2 linked regions of the Drosophila melanogaster genome follow. The protein of the gene in region 1 interacts with the protein of each later gene in a pairwise test. Each region holds a gene or a part of one and is shown on either strand. Other genes may lie near its edges.

Evidence for each region. The genes of interacting proteins can lie anywhere in the genome.
Region 2: the proteins of CG9547 (region 1) and CG13407 interact in a two-hybrid assay, tested with the Drosophila melanogaster proteins (one large-scale study listed by BioGRID).

Annotation. Positions count from the first base shown.
Region 1 is NT_033779.5:6,492,462-6,496,365, forward strand, and holds CG9547 (uncharacterized protein), read right to left. Parts: upstream 2,072-3,904; 5' UTR 1,978-2,071; coding exon 1,512-1,977; intron 1,394-1,511; coding exon 600-1,393; 3' UTR 513-599; downstream 1-512. Other genes in the region: CG31638 (uncharacterized protein), read left to right, coding at 1-2, 59-395, 2,477-2,643, 2,783-3,407, 3,596-3,604.
Region 2 is NT_033777.3:22,101,457-22,106,100, forward strand, and holds CG13407 (uncharacterized protein), read left to right. Parts: upstream 1-1,957; coding exon 1,958-2,046; intron 2,047-2,613; coding exon 2,614-2,799; intron 2,800-3,074; coding exon 3,075-4,134; downstream 4,135-4,644.

The DNA of each region.
Region 1 (3,904 bases):
CGGTAAGCAAATACGCATTCTGTACTTTGACAAGAGTGTAACTATCGATTCATTGCAGCCTCACGGAGCTTCGCACTGAACTGGAGCACCTTCAGGCGGAGAACGCCTCCGAATGGGGCAAGCGCGAGCGACTGGAGTCCGAGAAATTGGCCATGGAGCGTGACAACAAGAAACTGCGCGCAGAACTGCGAGATTATCAGGAACGTTCGGACCGTAAGTGCCGACCCATGCAAGCTAATGACGTGGAGCTGCGAGCATTGCAGCAGGAACTTTCGGAGCGCAACAAGGAGATCAGCGAGGTGAAGATGTCGCACGCCAAGCTAAAGAAGTTGCTGGCCGAAACAAACACAGAGCTGGGACACGCCGTGCGGCGAGCCGAGCAGTATGAGGCGGAGGTGAGTAAATCCACATCCAAAAATCTTATCAGATGATATATGGATCAGATTACGCGTATCAGCTTATCAGCCTAGGAAAACTTAAAGATGTAACAGCCTTCCTCGCCGAACCGAATTCGGTTTGATTAACATTTATTCACATTGACACTTCGACATAAAACAAATTGGTAAATGCAGTACTTTATGATTTTCGAAACAAGTACATTAGTTAGCAAATGCCGCCAGTCCGGTGATGGCTCGGCCCAGGATCAACGCGTGTATATCGTGCGTGCCCTCATAGGTGTTAACTGACTCCAGGTTGATTACATGGCGGATCACATGATATTCGTCGCTGATTCCGTTTGCACCCAGCATGTCCCTCATTTGGCGCGCTATATCAAGCGATTTGCCAGTATTGTTTCGCTTTAGAAGGGAAATCATGTCGGGCGTGTGCAGCTTCTGATCCTTGAGGCGACCCACATGCAGGCAAGCCTGCAGACCCAACGCAATCTCTGTGATGGCATCGGCCAGCTTCTTTTGGATCAACTGATTTGCAGCCAAAGGACGACCGAATTGTTTGCGATCCAGTGTATACTGGCGAGCAATCTCCACGCAGGTTTCAGCTGCTCCCAGGGCTCCCCACGCGATTCCATAGCGAGCGTTGTTCAGACAGCTGAAGGGTCCACTAAAGCCGGCCACATTGGGTAGCAACTGCTCCTCTGGCACACGGACCTCGTCCATCAGGATCATACCCGTGGGCGAAGCACGCAGAGAGAACTTGCCCTCGATCTTTGGCGTCTCCAAACCCTTGCCGGATATCTTGCGATCCACCAGGAAGCCGCGTACCTTGCCATCCTCGCATTTTGCCCATACGACTATGACGTCTGCGATGGGCGCACTAGTAATCCACGTCTTAGATCCGTTCAGGATGTATGTCTTGCTTTTGCTATCGTACTTGGCACGGGTCTCCATGCCAGCGGGGTCACTACCGTGGTTGGGTTCAGTTAGGCCAAAGGCACCTGAATAAATATGTAAAGAAATTGAGATTCGTTTAAAGAGAACACATATAAACTACGGGACTTTATATAATTCACTCAATATTTCATTAAAATATGATTTTATTCATTTGGCACTCACCAATCAGCTTGCCCTCCGCCATGCTGGGCAAATAGCGTTGCTTCTGCTCCTCGGATCCAAAGTCGTAGATGGCGCCCATGGCCAGCGAGCTCTGGACACTGACAGCAGACCGATAAGCGGAGTCCACGCGCTCCACCTCGCGGGTGAGCAAGCCGTAGGCAACGCTAGAGACTCCGGCGCAGCCGTATCCCTTAATGGTGCAGCCGAGGACACCCAGACTGCCGATCTCCTCCATAATTTTCTTGTCGAACGTCTCCAGGCGATTGGCCATCTTGACGCGCGGCTGCAGCTCGGCCTGACAGTATCCACGGAACGCATCCCGAATGGCCACCTCTTCCTCGGTCAATTGGCTCTCCAAATTCAGCGGATCCTGCCAGTTGAATTTGGGAGCTGCGGCTTTGGAGCTCGTGCTGGCCAAGCGGCGGGCACACGGTCGCAGTTTGCTGATTACACTTTGCGCAATCATAATTCCGATTCGGTTCTGTCTTTTCTGTTGGAAGTGATCAGCCGGTTCTCCACGGAACAGCTGCTCGATTCGACGTTCGGCGAGAGACTGAAGAAAGCTTAAATCTACAGCGAGAGCTTTTGGCTGCCCGCTCTTCGCGCGCTCTCTTCGCTCTTCTTCGCCAACTTTGTTTACCTCGCTTTAATATTGTTGTTATGCCCGATCTTAATCTGCGGGTTCTAAATTTTTCGCACTATCGCGCTTATATTTCACTTGACGATAGAAACCAAGAGTGAAGCGAGTGTGGAAGGAAATATTTTTCCATTTTAAGCGTTATCACCACTTGGCGGGGGTCGTCTGCTTATCAGTTGTGTTTGAAGACTGGAAGGCACGCCCCCTTGCTCTTTGTGCTTCGAGTTTTGGGTACAGATGCATCTTATGCGTTCAGAACAAATATGTAATATACCAATCTGAATCCACATATGTAGCTACATCACTACTTTTCTCTATTTTCCTGCAGGTGAAGCGTCTGCGTCAGCGTGTGGAGGAGCTGAAGCGGGAGTTAGCTGGTGCTGAGGACGAACTGGATTCGGCCGTTAACCAAGTGCGCCGCTTGCAGCGTTCCAACGATGAGCTGGTGGGTCAGACGGAAGGATTACAGGTGCAGATTCAGCACCTCCAGAATAGGTAAGATCAGTTCGAAAGAAACATTTAGATTTGCATACCGCTAAGTCTGTGGACTAACTCTAATAACCACTAACTTTTCAACTGGTGCTGGCTTGACTAATAACCTAACTCCTAACCCACGCTTAACCCAACGAAAAAGACGTGCTCCCAGTCCCCAGCTGCGGGGCATGGGCGGGGTGCAATTGAGGAATAAGATTGCCGTGGAGCTGCCCAACGACTGTCTGCCGAATATCAATGATCTTCGCCAGATCTTTGATGACTCGCAGGCAGGTTTGAGGAGCTCCCACAATGGCAGCGATGCCGCTATGCATCATGCTGCTTCCGTAAAGAGATCTAGTCACACGGAACGAACGCTCCTGCAGCAGCAGCAGAGTAGTGCTGCGGCATCTGCAGCGGCGGCGGCAGCGGCAGCAGCTGCTTTTTTTGATGCCAAGCCCACGCATCTGGAGGAGAATATATTTGAGTCGAAGTCACGGAATCTGGAGTTCGAGCGGGCCAAGCAGAAATTCGATAATCCTCACGGACAGCACCATCATCATCACCAGAGGCAGCGATCCGGAAACGGACGTTATGGCAGCGCAGGCAGCAGTGCCAGTCGAGCGAATCTAGCGCTGCCCCTGAAGGGAACCACAAATGGAGGCAGCAGCTCCGTTTCCAGTAAGGATGAGCTAAACCGACAGCTGTACGAGAAGGAGCAGTCTGCAGGCGCTGGATATGCGAGAAACAGCATTAATCTAGATGGTCTCAAGGTGTCCGACGATGAGGTGAGATTAGAGGAGCAGAAACGATTGTTATCACTTGAGTAAACTAATGCTTTGTTAGTTATTGTGTTCATCACATTATTGGTTTGATTTGTTTTAGCATCACTAATCCTTTTACTGCATGTATTGGTTTTACTAATCAATGTATAATTCTAGGTAAATATAATAACTATTTGTGATTTAAATTTCAGACTCCGTAGCTATGGTTCGACAAGCTTGCTGCTGGACGACGAGACGGAGGGTAACAGCGACTAGGATAACCAGACAAAAGACATTTGAGAGACATTAATGGTATTAACCTTAAGTATTAATTCGCAAGTACTTTAAAGTTGGTTGGACAACAGTCCCAAATATAATGCGCATTCCTAGTTTATATTTGGGCCTTTTACCAACCGGTGCCCCAGTTTTTTTTATAAGCATAACTATTGCAGAACGATTGTTCATGAACAAATACTTACTTATAAACTAAGATATTCTTAATTTCGCGACTAATTCCAATC
Region 2 (4,644 bases), on another chromosome or scaffold:
ATTTCGGTGGCCATAAAATCTTATAAAAATGTTGGTGGCAAATGTTCGGCTACTAGTTAACTACAATATGTCCGAGTCAACTTGTTATTGACTCTCTGTCTCGGTCCTGGGAGGGCTTTGAAATATGTTGACAATGGCGCCAGCAACAAAAGCTAAATATAAATACCCAATCCACAAAAAAAAAAAAAAAAAAAACAGCCCCCCATTTATGTTCTCAAATTTTCAACCCCGCAAGGCAATTGACTTTTCGATATGCTTCCCTTTTTTTTGGAAGAATCAGCAAAAGTCCTCTAGTTTCTTTTCCATAGTTTTTTGCCCAACATTTCCTGTGGGCCAAATTTTTGGGGGTTGGGGCAGCGCGACAAATCAAAGCGTTACAAAGCTGGAAAATGTGTGGAAAAGTTGCAGTGCAATTTATTATATGCTTTTGATTCTGCAAATCTAGCTGATGTTGTTCTTTCTTTTTTGTTTTGCTCCACGTTGTCGCTAGCACTGCGGAAATGTTAAATATTTGTTATTGCAGTCTAATGTTTCCGCTTTACGAAAGACAACAGACAGGGATTTTTCGAGACTGTGCTATGTTTGTGATCGAAGAGTTGTATACTTCTTGTTTAAAAGTAGTATATATATTACAATTAAATATAGTTAGAAAAAGTTAGTGGAAGATCAGAGCACTTGTAGTGTGTGATAACTGATATAAGCAGCACTAATATACCCCATAAAATTCAATTCAATATAAAAATCTTTTCTGGCAATGAAAACTATTAGCCCCAGTCATAAATCTTTAAGACCAAAGGCGTGGATGTGGAGAAGTGGAAGTGGACCCCAACCAAAAGCCGGGTTCGACTAACCGCACAAGGGACCACAAGAACCGAGCTCCATTTGGCTGCACAGACGACAGTGGCAAAGTCTGGGCCAGACATGGCACAATTATGACAATTTCTGATGCATAACGCTGCATCCATAGAGCTTTTAATGCAATAAACAAGCGACTGGAGCGTCATTAACACTGACAGGAATCGGTAAGGGTAGGGAGTAGGAGGAGTGTAGGGGGGGGGGGGTTGATGCCAAGGAGCATTCCCGGCCTTTTGTCGCTCACTAATTGTCTGGCCTGGCCGAAATGTGCAGCGCATGCATGCAACGCAACGCTCCAATTCAGGTGTGTGTCAGTTGGCCGTTGTCGCCACAAAACACTTTGCCGGCAATTGTCAGCTGGCTTTTGGGTACGTGTTACGAACAGTGATGGGAAATGGAAATACTTTCTCCACGGAGTACAAAATTAAATTAAGATACTAAAGATTACCTTTCCTGAAATTCAATAAAGAAGCAATATAGCAAAGTGGATAAAGTAAGGAGCTCTCGTTTAGAATCTATAACTTCTTCTTTTAATAAGTGAGTTACTATGTTTTTTGTAATTTTTGTACTTGTACCTAGTTTAAGTATTGGTACAAATGCTTTGCTCGAGCCGTACCTGCCAACACTGCCATTGAGTAGTTGTTTTAAGGCCGTTGCAGTTGCAAGTTGCTAGTTGTAGCCAAACTCACTTAGCAGCTGACAATGACAGTCGCCTGCCTCTCTTCTTTCCCGCATCACCAGCAACACCACTATCAGCACCACCACGATTACCACCCACTTCAAGTTCACCTGCGTTAATAGCCGCCTGCCAGGCAAGTGTCTGGGAAAGGCTTTGCCCAGTTGCCTAAACGACATTGTCACTTGCGGTTGGTTGGGCGCATCATCTCCTGCTGCTTCAGCCCCAAACTCCAGTTCGTCGTGCTCGTCCTGTTAGTCCTGATCGTCCTGTTTGCGGCTTCTGCAGTCGAGTTGCCATCGGTTTATGGCAGGTTGAGCACCAGCGACAATGAGCCACGCTGGTGCACCGTGTAGTGATAAACATGCGCGCTTTTCGGCACAAATCAATTAGCAATTGAATTTGGTGAACTCAAAGACGGTGAAAATGTCCGACGGCCAAATGACAAATCAACTCAACGTGCAACAGCAGGAACAACATCCGCTGCTTTCAGCCATCTCAGGAAATAATTATGCGTAAGCCATGGTCAAAGGCATTGGGATGTCGACTGTATTTGCCATACAGCCAAATCAAATTAAATTTGATATAATTAAGAAGTGGCACACTCACTCAGTTCCCTAGAATTATATTGTTAATCTGAACTCGCTTAAGTGCTTTTTATATATTTATCAAGAAGTCCTGCTAAACAACATCGTAAATAATGAATTAATTCTTTTTCAGTCATTGATATATGCAAAACTTAAACGCTTTAACAAACTTCTTTCTTCTATCCTACGTAATATTAATAATCGCTTAAAGGAGCCTTGAAAGAGTTTAGTCAGTTGCAACAGGATAAAGTGTGCTCTTTGGCTTAAAGATTAAGTGCTGGAGTGCCGGAGGCAACTGCAATCGCAAACGACCCCTGGCCCAAAAGACAGCCACTGCGGGCGCGGACTGATACCTCAGGCACTTAGCCGGGCTAATGTGGGACACAAACAGAAGCGGCGTCTCGGCCACACAACCACATGCCCAACCCCCCCCCCCCCCCACTCACTCATCCGCTTGCCCGCTTTCACCACTCACCTTCTAACCTTCTCTTGCAGTCAAACGCAGCGTGTGCATTACTATCCCAACCACTACTACCCGAGCCACTACTTGCCGGGCCATTACCACCAAGGACACCAAGGATACCAGGGGCAGCAGGGACGACCACCGCTCCTGGCGGCCGCCAGCAGCCACAACGGTGCTTATGCGGCCACGGCGGCTGGCAGCGGACACTCCGGCTACGGGTAAGCAAAGAACCACCGCTGCACTGAGAGAAAAGCAATGGGATGAACAAGAAAATTCATTCCAAATATACAAAGAAATTAAACTGTTATGAAAAAATATAAATAACTATTTGAAGATGAATATATACTTAATAATATTGATACTAATGAATACTAAAGTTTCGAACTTATCAACCTAAATTACCTATTTCTTCCTGTGCACTGGCCATCAAAGTCAAACCATAACCCCAATTCCAGTGCAAGTTCCGCATCTAATGCCAGTTTGAATTTTGCAGCGGCATAGAGCCATCCGTGGAGTACGAGCTGCAGCATGACCCACCCTCGGGTAGCTTCTCCTCCTTTCATCCCAGTAGTGCGGGCAGTGGGCCCGCATATCCATCTGCCCACCATCCGCCGGCTGGTCCACCACCGGCTCCTCCGCCCACCAAATCGTCAAAGAAATCGAAGAAGAGCAGCGGTTCGGTGATGAACGCACTAACGCTGCTCTCGTTCTTCTTCTTTGTTAACATGCTGCAGAACTGCCTGAAGGATCATATGGCTGACATGAATCCCACCGTGATGGTGCTCACAGCCAGCGGCACTCGCAATCGTTTCAACAAATTAGCCGAGATGAATTCACGCGAACAGACCTCGACAACGGCCACCGAATCGGTAACGGCATCGGCAGCGGCATCATCTTGGAATCATCAGGCTGCTTTAGTTCCGGCCGTCGAGCCAAGTGTGCCGCCCTCCATTGTTACGCCCACGGTGGTGCTGCAATCGCCCTACAGCCGTCACACGGAGATGGCCAATAAGCCGCCCCAACGCCAGCCAATGGAGTACCAGTCGAACCCTCAGCAAAATCATCACGATTATCGGCCCCACAACGCGAATGATGATGCTTATAATTACGGGCAGCGCCGACCTCCGCCTCAGACCTTCTCCACCTCCGATGGCGGCGATTTCTATCCTAATCGCACACACATCGACCACTCGTCCCGGCCCGACTTTGAATCGGAGTCGGGCTCCGATTACTATCAGCACCACTATAACCCGTATGCTGGCACAAACTCCCATCGGCATCCTTGGTCTTATGGCAGGCAGCGTTACTCATCCGCACCGTGGTCTTCAGCTTCGTTGGGCGCTCAGTCGGGCGTGAGCTCTTACTTGGATAATGCCCAGCGACGGCAAGGTGATGATGACGATGGTCATGGTTATGGCTATGGCTATGGCCACAGGGATAGGGATCGGGATAGGGATAGGGATACGGATGCAGATGGTTTCTGGGATGAGGACGAGAATGGTCAGCAGCGGCGACGCAGCGATGCTTTCTATACTCGCACACGCATTAATTGAATGCAAGAATTCCGCGCACATTTCTATGTTGCATGGCGGGGATTTGCTGCATTAACCCATTGCACAAAAATGGGGTGGCATAATGTGGATGGGCAAAAAAAGATGTGAATGGATTTTTTTTTAGAACAGCTAAAGCAGCGTTTATAGCTTATGGCATTTTACATTCTGTAAATATTATCCACGCTCTTTCGTTGTAGCTTAAAAATACCACATTTAACTTACTTGTATTATTGATTTTCATATAAAGTTATAATACGATATAAGAATTATTTTACATTACCTTTAAAAGTTGTATATCATAATGCACGACCGAGGGTTAAAAATGCTTAGCTTACATGTATTTATAATTAAAAGCAAACAACGTGCATAAGAGCTGACAAAAAATGAATGGAAAAAGGCGATGAGGCGGTGAGGCAGACAGACACACCCGGCAAGTTGGAATCGTAATGAAAATAAATGCTAATTTGTTGCACAACAAATTAAAAGTGCCCCCAGATTTTGCCTGGCGCT